Linked DNA regions of Danio rerio. The protein of the gene in region 1 purifies or fractionates together with the protein of each later gene. This does not show direct contact. Links are inferred from orthologs where the notes say so. Each region holds a gene or a part of one and is shown on either strand. Other genes may lie near its edges.

What was found. Proteins that work in one complex are often made in the same cells at the same time.
Region 2: the proteins of slx4 (region 1) and sumo1 purify together in Homo sapiens (affinity purification with mass spectrometry; 3 studies listed by BioGRID, with this or other methods). This does not show direct contact. The link is inferred for Danio rerio from reciprocal best matches to the Homo sapiens genes SLX4 and SUMO1.

Annotation. Positions count from the first base shown.
Region 1 is NC_133197.1:27,531,225-27,535,225, reverse strand, and holds the end of slx4 (structure-specific endonuclease subunit SLX4), read right to left. Parts: intron 1,924-4,001; coding exon 1,654-1,923; intron 1,325-1,653; coding exon 952-1,324; 3' UTR 501-951; downstream 1-500. UniProt on the Homo sapiens protein: Regulatory subunit that interacts with and increases the activity of different structure-specific endonucleases.
Region 2 is NC_133181.1:10,603,269-10,607,414, forward strand, and holds the start of sumo1 (small ubiquitin-related modifier 1), read left to right. Parts: upstream 1-1,346; 5' UTR 1,347-1,448; coding exon 1,449-1,460; intron 1,461-2,226; coding exon 2,227-2,298; intron 2,299-2,440; coding exon 2,441-2,518; intron 2,519-4,146. UniProt on the Homo sapiens protein: Ubiquitin-like protein that can be covalently attached to proteins as a monomer or a lysine-linked polymer.

The sequences.
Region 1 (4,001 bases):
ATGTAATTACAATAGTTAATTACAGATGTAAATACATACATGTATTTAATCAAGCATAAGTACACAGTAAATACATGTATTTACACAATAAGTACGTTGTAAATAACTATTAATTCCTGTGTAAGTACATATTAGTTAAGGCCACTTAATATAAAGTGGGACCGTTATAAATTTAAAGCAATGTGTTTCACATGTGTTGGTGCGATACTTTGCAGTGTGCAATTTAAAATAACTGCCTCTAGGAGTCGCCAATGGAAATAAAACAAACGTAGACAAGAAGTACATGTACGCTAGACATGAAGTTGGCGCAGACCAACGAACATTCTCACATTAGTTTCATCGTTAGTAAATCCAAACGTGAGCGTGAAACCTGGCGTATGCAAAGTTTTTGTGCGTATGCAGCGTTGATACATGAGGCCCCTGTTCTGCCTCAAAGAGACTTTACTTTAAATCACGGTATGAAATTAAGAACACAAAAAAAAAAACAATAGTACCAACTATTATATAAAAACGTGACAGACATGTCTTTTATTTACATTATCCAAACATTCATTTAAATTCATTAAAAAGTAATTTATTTACGTCAACCACTGTACAAAATAAACATCAAAGCGGGCCCCATAAATAAAAAACCCCAATGAGTTCTTATGTAAACTCTTTCATTGGAAGCTTTATGATCCTGAGTTTGAGCTTTTTTTACAACAGGGGTCTCCAAACTCGGCCCTGGAGGGCCAGTGTCCTAGAGAGTTTAGCTCCAACCCTAATCAAATGCACCTAAAGCAGCTTATCAAGCTCTTACTAGACATACTAGAAACTTCCTGGCAAGTGTGTTGAAGCAAGTTGGAGCTAAACTATGCAGGACACCGGCCCTCCAGGGCCGAGTTTGGACATCCCTGTTTTACAACCTCTGATTTTCCTTCGTTCTTTTATCACATTATTTGATTTCAGCCCTTACGCGACTCCCCCATTGGGCCTAGTTGTTTTTTTCCTCCCTCTTCCAGCAGTTGTGGTTTTTACACGTCGTTTTCTACGGGAAGTTGTGCTCTTGCCTTGTTTGGCCGTGCTGAACGTAATGCATTGAGAGTCCAGGAAGTCTAATAGTTTAGCAGCAGCTAACCTGATACCTGCAGCTCTCAAGCTGGCCCGCAGCTCCGCCAGTGGAAGAGGCTGGTACTGCAACACTCGACTGTACAGCTCTGGATCGGACAGGATGAACTGACGGACTGCGAGGAGTTTGTCCTTCTCTCGCACGACAGCCTGAGACGCTGTGATGCCTTCAGTGTCCGAGTCTTCATCTTCAGACAGACACAGCTCTGGGTTCGACCTGGAATGAGCGAAAAAGTGAAAATCAAAAGTATTGATTTTACCAAAATCGATCTTTTGACAACCCTAATATAATTATGGTTACATAAACAGATTAGGGTTGTCAAAAGTTTTGATTTTGGTACCAAACTCACCATATTGGTCACCATATTGGCTTATATTTTAGAGTGATGTCTTTACTGTTTTCGTTATAGTTATCACATAGTTATCACAGCCTTAACAGTGGTCATGAATAGCTATTGAGAGAGTGTTCTTAATTCAAATGAGTAGAGCGTTGGGCCCAGAAACAGTATTTCATGTTACAATGTAACCAGCAGAAATGAGCCGTACCTCTCGGACTCTGCAGTGGAAGATGTGTTCGAGTTTTGAGATGCTGATAAAGTCTCTTCTTCTTCTCTTGGTGGTAGTTTGACAGGTGAGACAGCAGGGGGCGCTGTAGGTTGTTTAAAGGAGAGTGATTTTGAGCTGGAGGCTATCGGAGGCCGCCGCGGTCCAGAGGTCTCGTCCTCAGACTCAGAGCTCTGCAGCTGGTGGGTGTATTGATGGATCTCTTTCAGCTTCAGAACCATCTGCTTCTTAGGCAGAGGACGCACGCCAAACCTGGAAATCAAAGTTCCAGCTTCAGTTTACTAAATATTACACACCTATTACACAGCCTGATTGTTAGATGAATGTTTATTAATACTATGAGTCCTTAAAAAGAGGGGAGGGGAAAGGATATAAATAGTAAATAAATAGTTTCATTTTGTTCTAGAATGTGACTAGTATTGAAAGTTAAAAAGGCAGTGCTTCCCACAGGTTTGAAATATACTTACGGTGGTAACCAGATCGAAACACATATTTTACCCACATCTTTTACAGTTGAAGTCAGAACTATTACTCCCCCTGTTTATTTGTTTCCCCAATTTCTGTTTAACATAGAGGAGATTTCTTCAACACATTTCTAATCATAATAGTTTTAATAATTAATTTCTTATAACTGATTTATTTTATCTTTGCCATGATGAAAGTAAATAATATTTGACTAGATATTGTTCAAGACACTTCTATACAGCTAAAAGTGACATTTAAAGGGTTAACTAGGTTAATTAGGTTAACTAGGCAGGTTAGGGTAATTAGGCAAGTTATTGTATAACGTTGGTTTGTTCTGTAGACTATCGAAAAAATATATAGCTTAAAGGGGCTAATAATTTTGACCTTAAAACTGTTTTAAATAATTGTAAAACTGCTTTTATTGTAGCCGACATAAAACAAATAAGACTTTCTCCAGAAGAAAATAATATTATCAGACATATTGTGAAAATTTCCTTGCTGTGTTAAACATAATTTAGGAAATATTTAAAAAAAGAAATTCAAAGGAGGGCTAATAATTCTGATTTCAACTGTAAATGGTCAACTACATATGAAAACAAAAAGTAATGTGATTTTTAACCATATTTTTTATTTATTATGACAATGTTATACTCTTTTTCTTTTCAATGGGTAAGAGTTATTAAAAAGGCCGTTGAAATAAAAGAAATCCACTATTTGTGTTACTTTTATGCTATTCAGTAGCCATGTGCACCCACTTACAGATACACAGGCTGCTCTCTCTCTCTCTCTAAAGTTACTTTATTGGCATGACATTTTGCATTGCTAAAGCATTTTAGATATGTATAAAGTATATGTAATATATTAAATTCATTAATTTCATTAATTTTCATTAAATTCATCATTAAATTAAAACATACAGCAAATGAGAAATAAATAACAGAAAAAAAATCAATAAAACCGACATTATTGCTAAAAATTATAATAATGACAAGAAAAAAAAAATGTAGATTATTTAAAGACAAATTAGTTGATCAACCATTTCTAATGGTGTATAAAATATTTTGCAGCAAGTATAGATGTTATTTTGTTCTCTCCGAGTACAAGGTCAAATAAATCAAGTTGAGTCGTTTACTAAATAATCATTTATTGTTTCTCTCGCGACCGTACTCGTGCAGTCAGCTGCGAAAAGGTTATGCAAAAACGCATAAAAATAACGGCAACTTTAGAAAGTGAAAGCAAAAGTTGCATCCCAGACATTTTAGGAGATTCAGAAACTACAGCCGGACGCATTGGTGCAAAAGGTACATCTCTGTGGGTCTGCAGACCATATCACCGGATAATCTAAGATCATTCACAAACTGCACTTAAGTGACCTGTTTAAATGTCATGGCCAAAGTTATAGAAAAAAATCAACCTTTGTTTTCAACTTCGATATTTTCCCCATACATCCATTCTTGTTAGGTGCATTGTTAGCCCCTTTCACACATACAGACCTTTCCAGAAAGTTACCAGCAATTTTCCAGAAAGGGCTCATGTGTGAACAGGCCCTTTTTGAAAACACCGGTAAATTCGTTCCGGCAATTTTCCGGAAAGTGAAGATGTAACATTACCGGTAATTTGCCGAAATGCTGCTCTGTGTGAACGCAGAAGGGAACTTGCCAGAAAGAGTGCCTTCACATTTAAAACGTGCTGACGTGAGACTTCTACTCCAGCCAATCAGAACACTCAGTCGCATTCACATCCGCACCGTTTATGAAAATAAAAGCCTTTGAATATTATTCCAGACATATTTAGCTGCTCGTTGTTAGTCAGATAACGTTTCTTTGATCCTAGCTAATATCAACTGTCTAAAAAATTGTCGATAA
Region 2 (4,146 bases), on another chromosome or scaffold:
TTTCATGCACCATCACCTCGTGTTGATTTTCAGTTTTCGAGTTTTATATTCAAAGTGTGTAGAGACAATATTTTGGATAATGTCATATTCCAAATAATGAGGATGATGATGATGATGATGATGATGATGATGATGATGATGATGATGATGATGATGATGATAATAATAATATACTAAACAAAAGTTTTGTAAAAAAAAAAGATATTTAAATGTTTTAGACAAAAAGATGAATAAACAATTATAATATGAAATATTATTTCAATTTTAAATATCTGTATTGTTGTATGTAAATATGTTTAATATTCCAATGAGAGTTCAGAATTTGTTATGGTCAATTTTACTTGGTGCTCTATGATTAATAATAATTCTGCTTGATATTTCTGTTAAATACACAATACATTCAGCTTTCTAAAATTCTCAGAAGAAACTGTATTTGAAATAAAATGTTCAGTAACATTATACAGATTTTTTATATTACCTTTGATCCACTGAATTAGTCTTAATGTCTTTTTTAAAATCTATGGCATTAAAAGTTATAAATACATAAAATAAACGATTTATTGTTTTATTTATGCAGGAATTTGCGAATTTATTAACTAATTGATTTTTTATTTGCATATTAATTTATTGTTTTATTTATTTATTGCTTTATTTATTTACTTTATTTATTCATTGCTTTTTATTTTTTATCTTTTTAATTTGTGTATTTATTTTGTACATTTGTTTATTTATTTAGCATGTTTATTTATTGTTTTATTTATGCAGGAATTTGTCTATTTATTTATTAATTTATTTGTGTATTTATTTATTTATTGTTTTATTTATGCAAGAATTTGTATTTATTTATTTTTTGTGTATTTATTTATTTATTGTTTTATTTACACAGGGATTTGAGTATTTATTCATTTATTCGTGTAGTTATTTATTAATTATTTTATTTATGTAGGAACTTGTGTATATATTTAGTCATTTATTTATTTATTTATTTGCGTATTTATTTACTGTTTTATTTATGAAGGAATTTGTACATGTGTTAATTAATTTATTTATTTGCGTATTTATTTATTTGTTGCTTTTGCAGGTTTCGTCCTCCAGAGGTGTAGTGTAGTTGTCACATTATTTTTGCACTCTAATATTTCGTGACCAAAATACTGATGTGTTTTTTTTTTTTTTTTTTTTGCAAAATACGGGCCTCCCTATGTTTTACCAATAGCAACATCGCAGATGGCGATTGGAGCCAATCAGAAAGAGCGTGGTGAGAAAAACAACGCTCGTTGGGTCATCGACCCAGTGTCATAGAAAGTCCAGCCCCTTTCCAATGACGTCAACGGCGCTGTGTTGTGGGTCTGCTGGTAGCACTATCAAAACCTCTCATTACTGTACATAACACTGTATCGTTTAAATCAAACAATCTTGATCTACAGAAGGGCTGCACATTGCGGAATATCATGTCAGACACGGTGAGTCTAAACCTGTGATGCTGAATCGAACTTTCATGAGAGCAGACGAGAAAGACGGACTTATAGAAAATGAAAATAAGAGGGCCCAGCTTTTAGCCTGTCTAGCTGACTGTGGTTTGGAAAGTATTTTTGATAAAAATGCTTGAGTGTTTTTAACTGTGCATAGTTTCTGGTTCTCGCAATTTACACATTAGTCCAATTTACTGTGTTCACAAATGCCAAAAATATGTGAATTTCTTCCTCAAATCGTCCAATTAGCATGTGTGCTAGTTAGCTGCTCTGGGCCCTGAAAGCAGAGTTCATAATATCTTGAGCTGATAGACCATGCTGAACATTTGAATTAGTTATTAATTGTTGATTTTTTGATATGTTCATTAGGATTATTCGTTATTTGTTCACGTTAGTTTGTGTTCGGTTTGTGCTCGTATTAACAGCTCGCGATAGAAGAGTAACGTTAGGTTGTGTGTTTACATTCAAAGCACACACACACACACACACAGCCTAGTGTTTAAATGATAACAACACTCACAATATTATTTTATATATAATATATATATATATATATATATATATATATATATATATATATATATATATATATATATATAATTATAATTTATTAAAATCGGATCTACCTTATTTTATACGATCTTCAGTCAATATTTTATTGAATTCAGTCCCAAGATATTTTTTTAATTCATTACATTAAATCTGATAAAAAAACAATATGACATGCAGTAATCGAATGCTTGTTTTGTTTTAATAGGAGACCAAGCCCTCAAGTGATGGAGGCGAGAAGAAGGATGGAGAGTACATTAAACTCAAAGTGATCGGTCAGGTGAGCAAAAGCACTTGTTTTCTAGGAAATGCAGGTTTTCATATTTAAACCCATTACTGTTTAAAACCAATCCAGCTGTTCTTTTATAATGAGATATATGAAAAGATCTGAACAGATTTGATGATTTCCTTTCATTTCGCAGGACAACAGTGAAATTCACTTTAAAGTGAAGATGACGACACATTTAAAGAAGCTGAAGGAATCCTACAGTCAGAGACAGGTGAGTCAGTTTTTCCATTTATGAGGGATAACGATAAATCTACACTACCATTCAGAGGTTTTGGGGGGTGGGTAGGATTTTTAAAAAACGCACTAATGCTACTTTTATTCAATCAAAAATGCATAAAATCTGTATTATTGTGAGTATTGTTACAAATAGAAATACACTAACACTGTAAAAATCTTAACTGTGATCAAATTAATGCGTCATTGCCGAAACAAAAAACAATGTTTAAATAGTTGTGTATGTTTCAGTTAAGGTTCCTGAGGTCTCATTTATAAAACATTGCATAGAAACTTTCCTAAAAGTGAATGTACACCAGAATACATTTTTATTTATTTATTAATTATTATGGCTTTTATGATGATTTAAAGTGCTTGAATTAAGTCAATATTTAAGCGAAATGTGTTTACTTAAAGCTGCGCACATTCTCCCGTCAAGTTTGTTTTTTATAGATCATAATAACCTGTATAAGAAGTGGCGTACACGTGTTTCCACCCCCAATTTTGTGTATACCATGTTTATAAATGAGACCCCTGGACAGTTTATTCTCTCTTTCAGATCAATTATTTGAACCATGTTAGTTAAAACATAAAACGTCTGTAATGATCATCTAAAGGGGGTGGAGTAACAATTTATTAAGAGGAAATTCACATTAATAGATGCTTTTAGTTTTGGTACAGAAAATATTGTTACACACAGGATATATATATATATTTTTACCCATTATGAGTTTTGGTAATAAACATTTAGTTTGCTTGCCTCGGCTTTTCTTTATCTCTGCTTTCTTAAATGAAACGCAACGACACAAGTATTTACTTTCTTTTACAAATATTATTGACAATATTCCATATCATACTCTCTGCTATTATAAATAAAACATAAACCCATTATATAATGACATGCAATCTAATTCTGAAATATATATATATATATATATATATATATATATATATATATGTATATGGTCAAAGATGTAAAAAATATATTTATATTTATCTGTTGCTTATAAAGTTACATGTTTCAGAAATTACATTTTACAAAAGTATATTTTTGTATTTAAATAAATTACTATTACAGTTTTATAAACACTCAAACCACTGCAGAAATGTTGCATATATCATATACACTAAAAAAAAAGACTTTTGCGGCTTGTTCAAAGTACTTATATATAATTAGCTGAAACTTGTGTTCTTGAGGACAACTTAATTGTTTTAAGTTAAGCCCACTTAAATTTATGAAAAAAAATTAAGTTTAATCAATTTATGATGGGCCATGTAAAAGAAATGTGTGGACCATAGCATTTTTACAGTATATTAGAGATCAATTTTCTATACAAGTTAAAATCATTACCTTAAATGTTTGTTTTAACAGTTGCTGGAAGTGTGTAAACAGGTTTTTGATTGTAAATGTAGCTTTCTTCACGAGTCACTGCTGCGTTTAAAATGGCATAAATGTTATGGGAGTGCACTATGGAGATAGCACAGTTGTCAATTTGAAGTTTATAAACTGAACTGTAATAAGAATAACTTTAATATAAAATGTGAACAAGACAACCTTTAATGTTTTTAAATGATTCAGAGTATTTGTGTTCAAATGGACAAGGGCATAGGGTGGATGATTCAGAA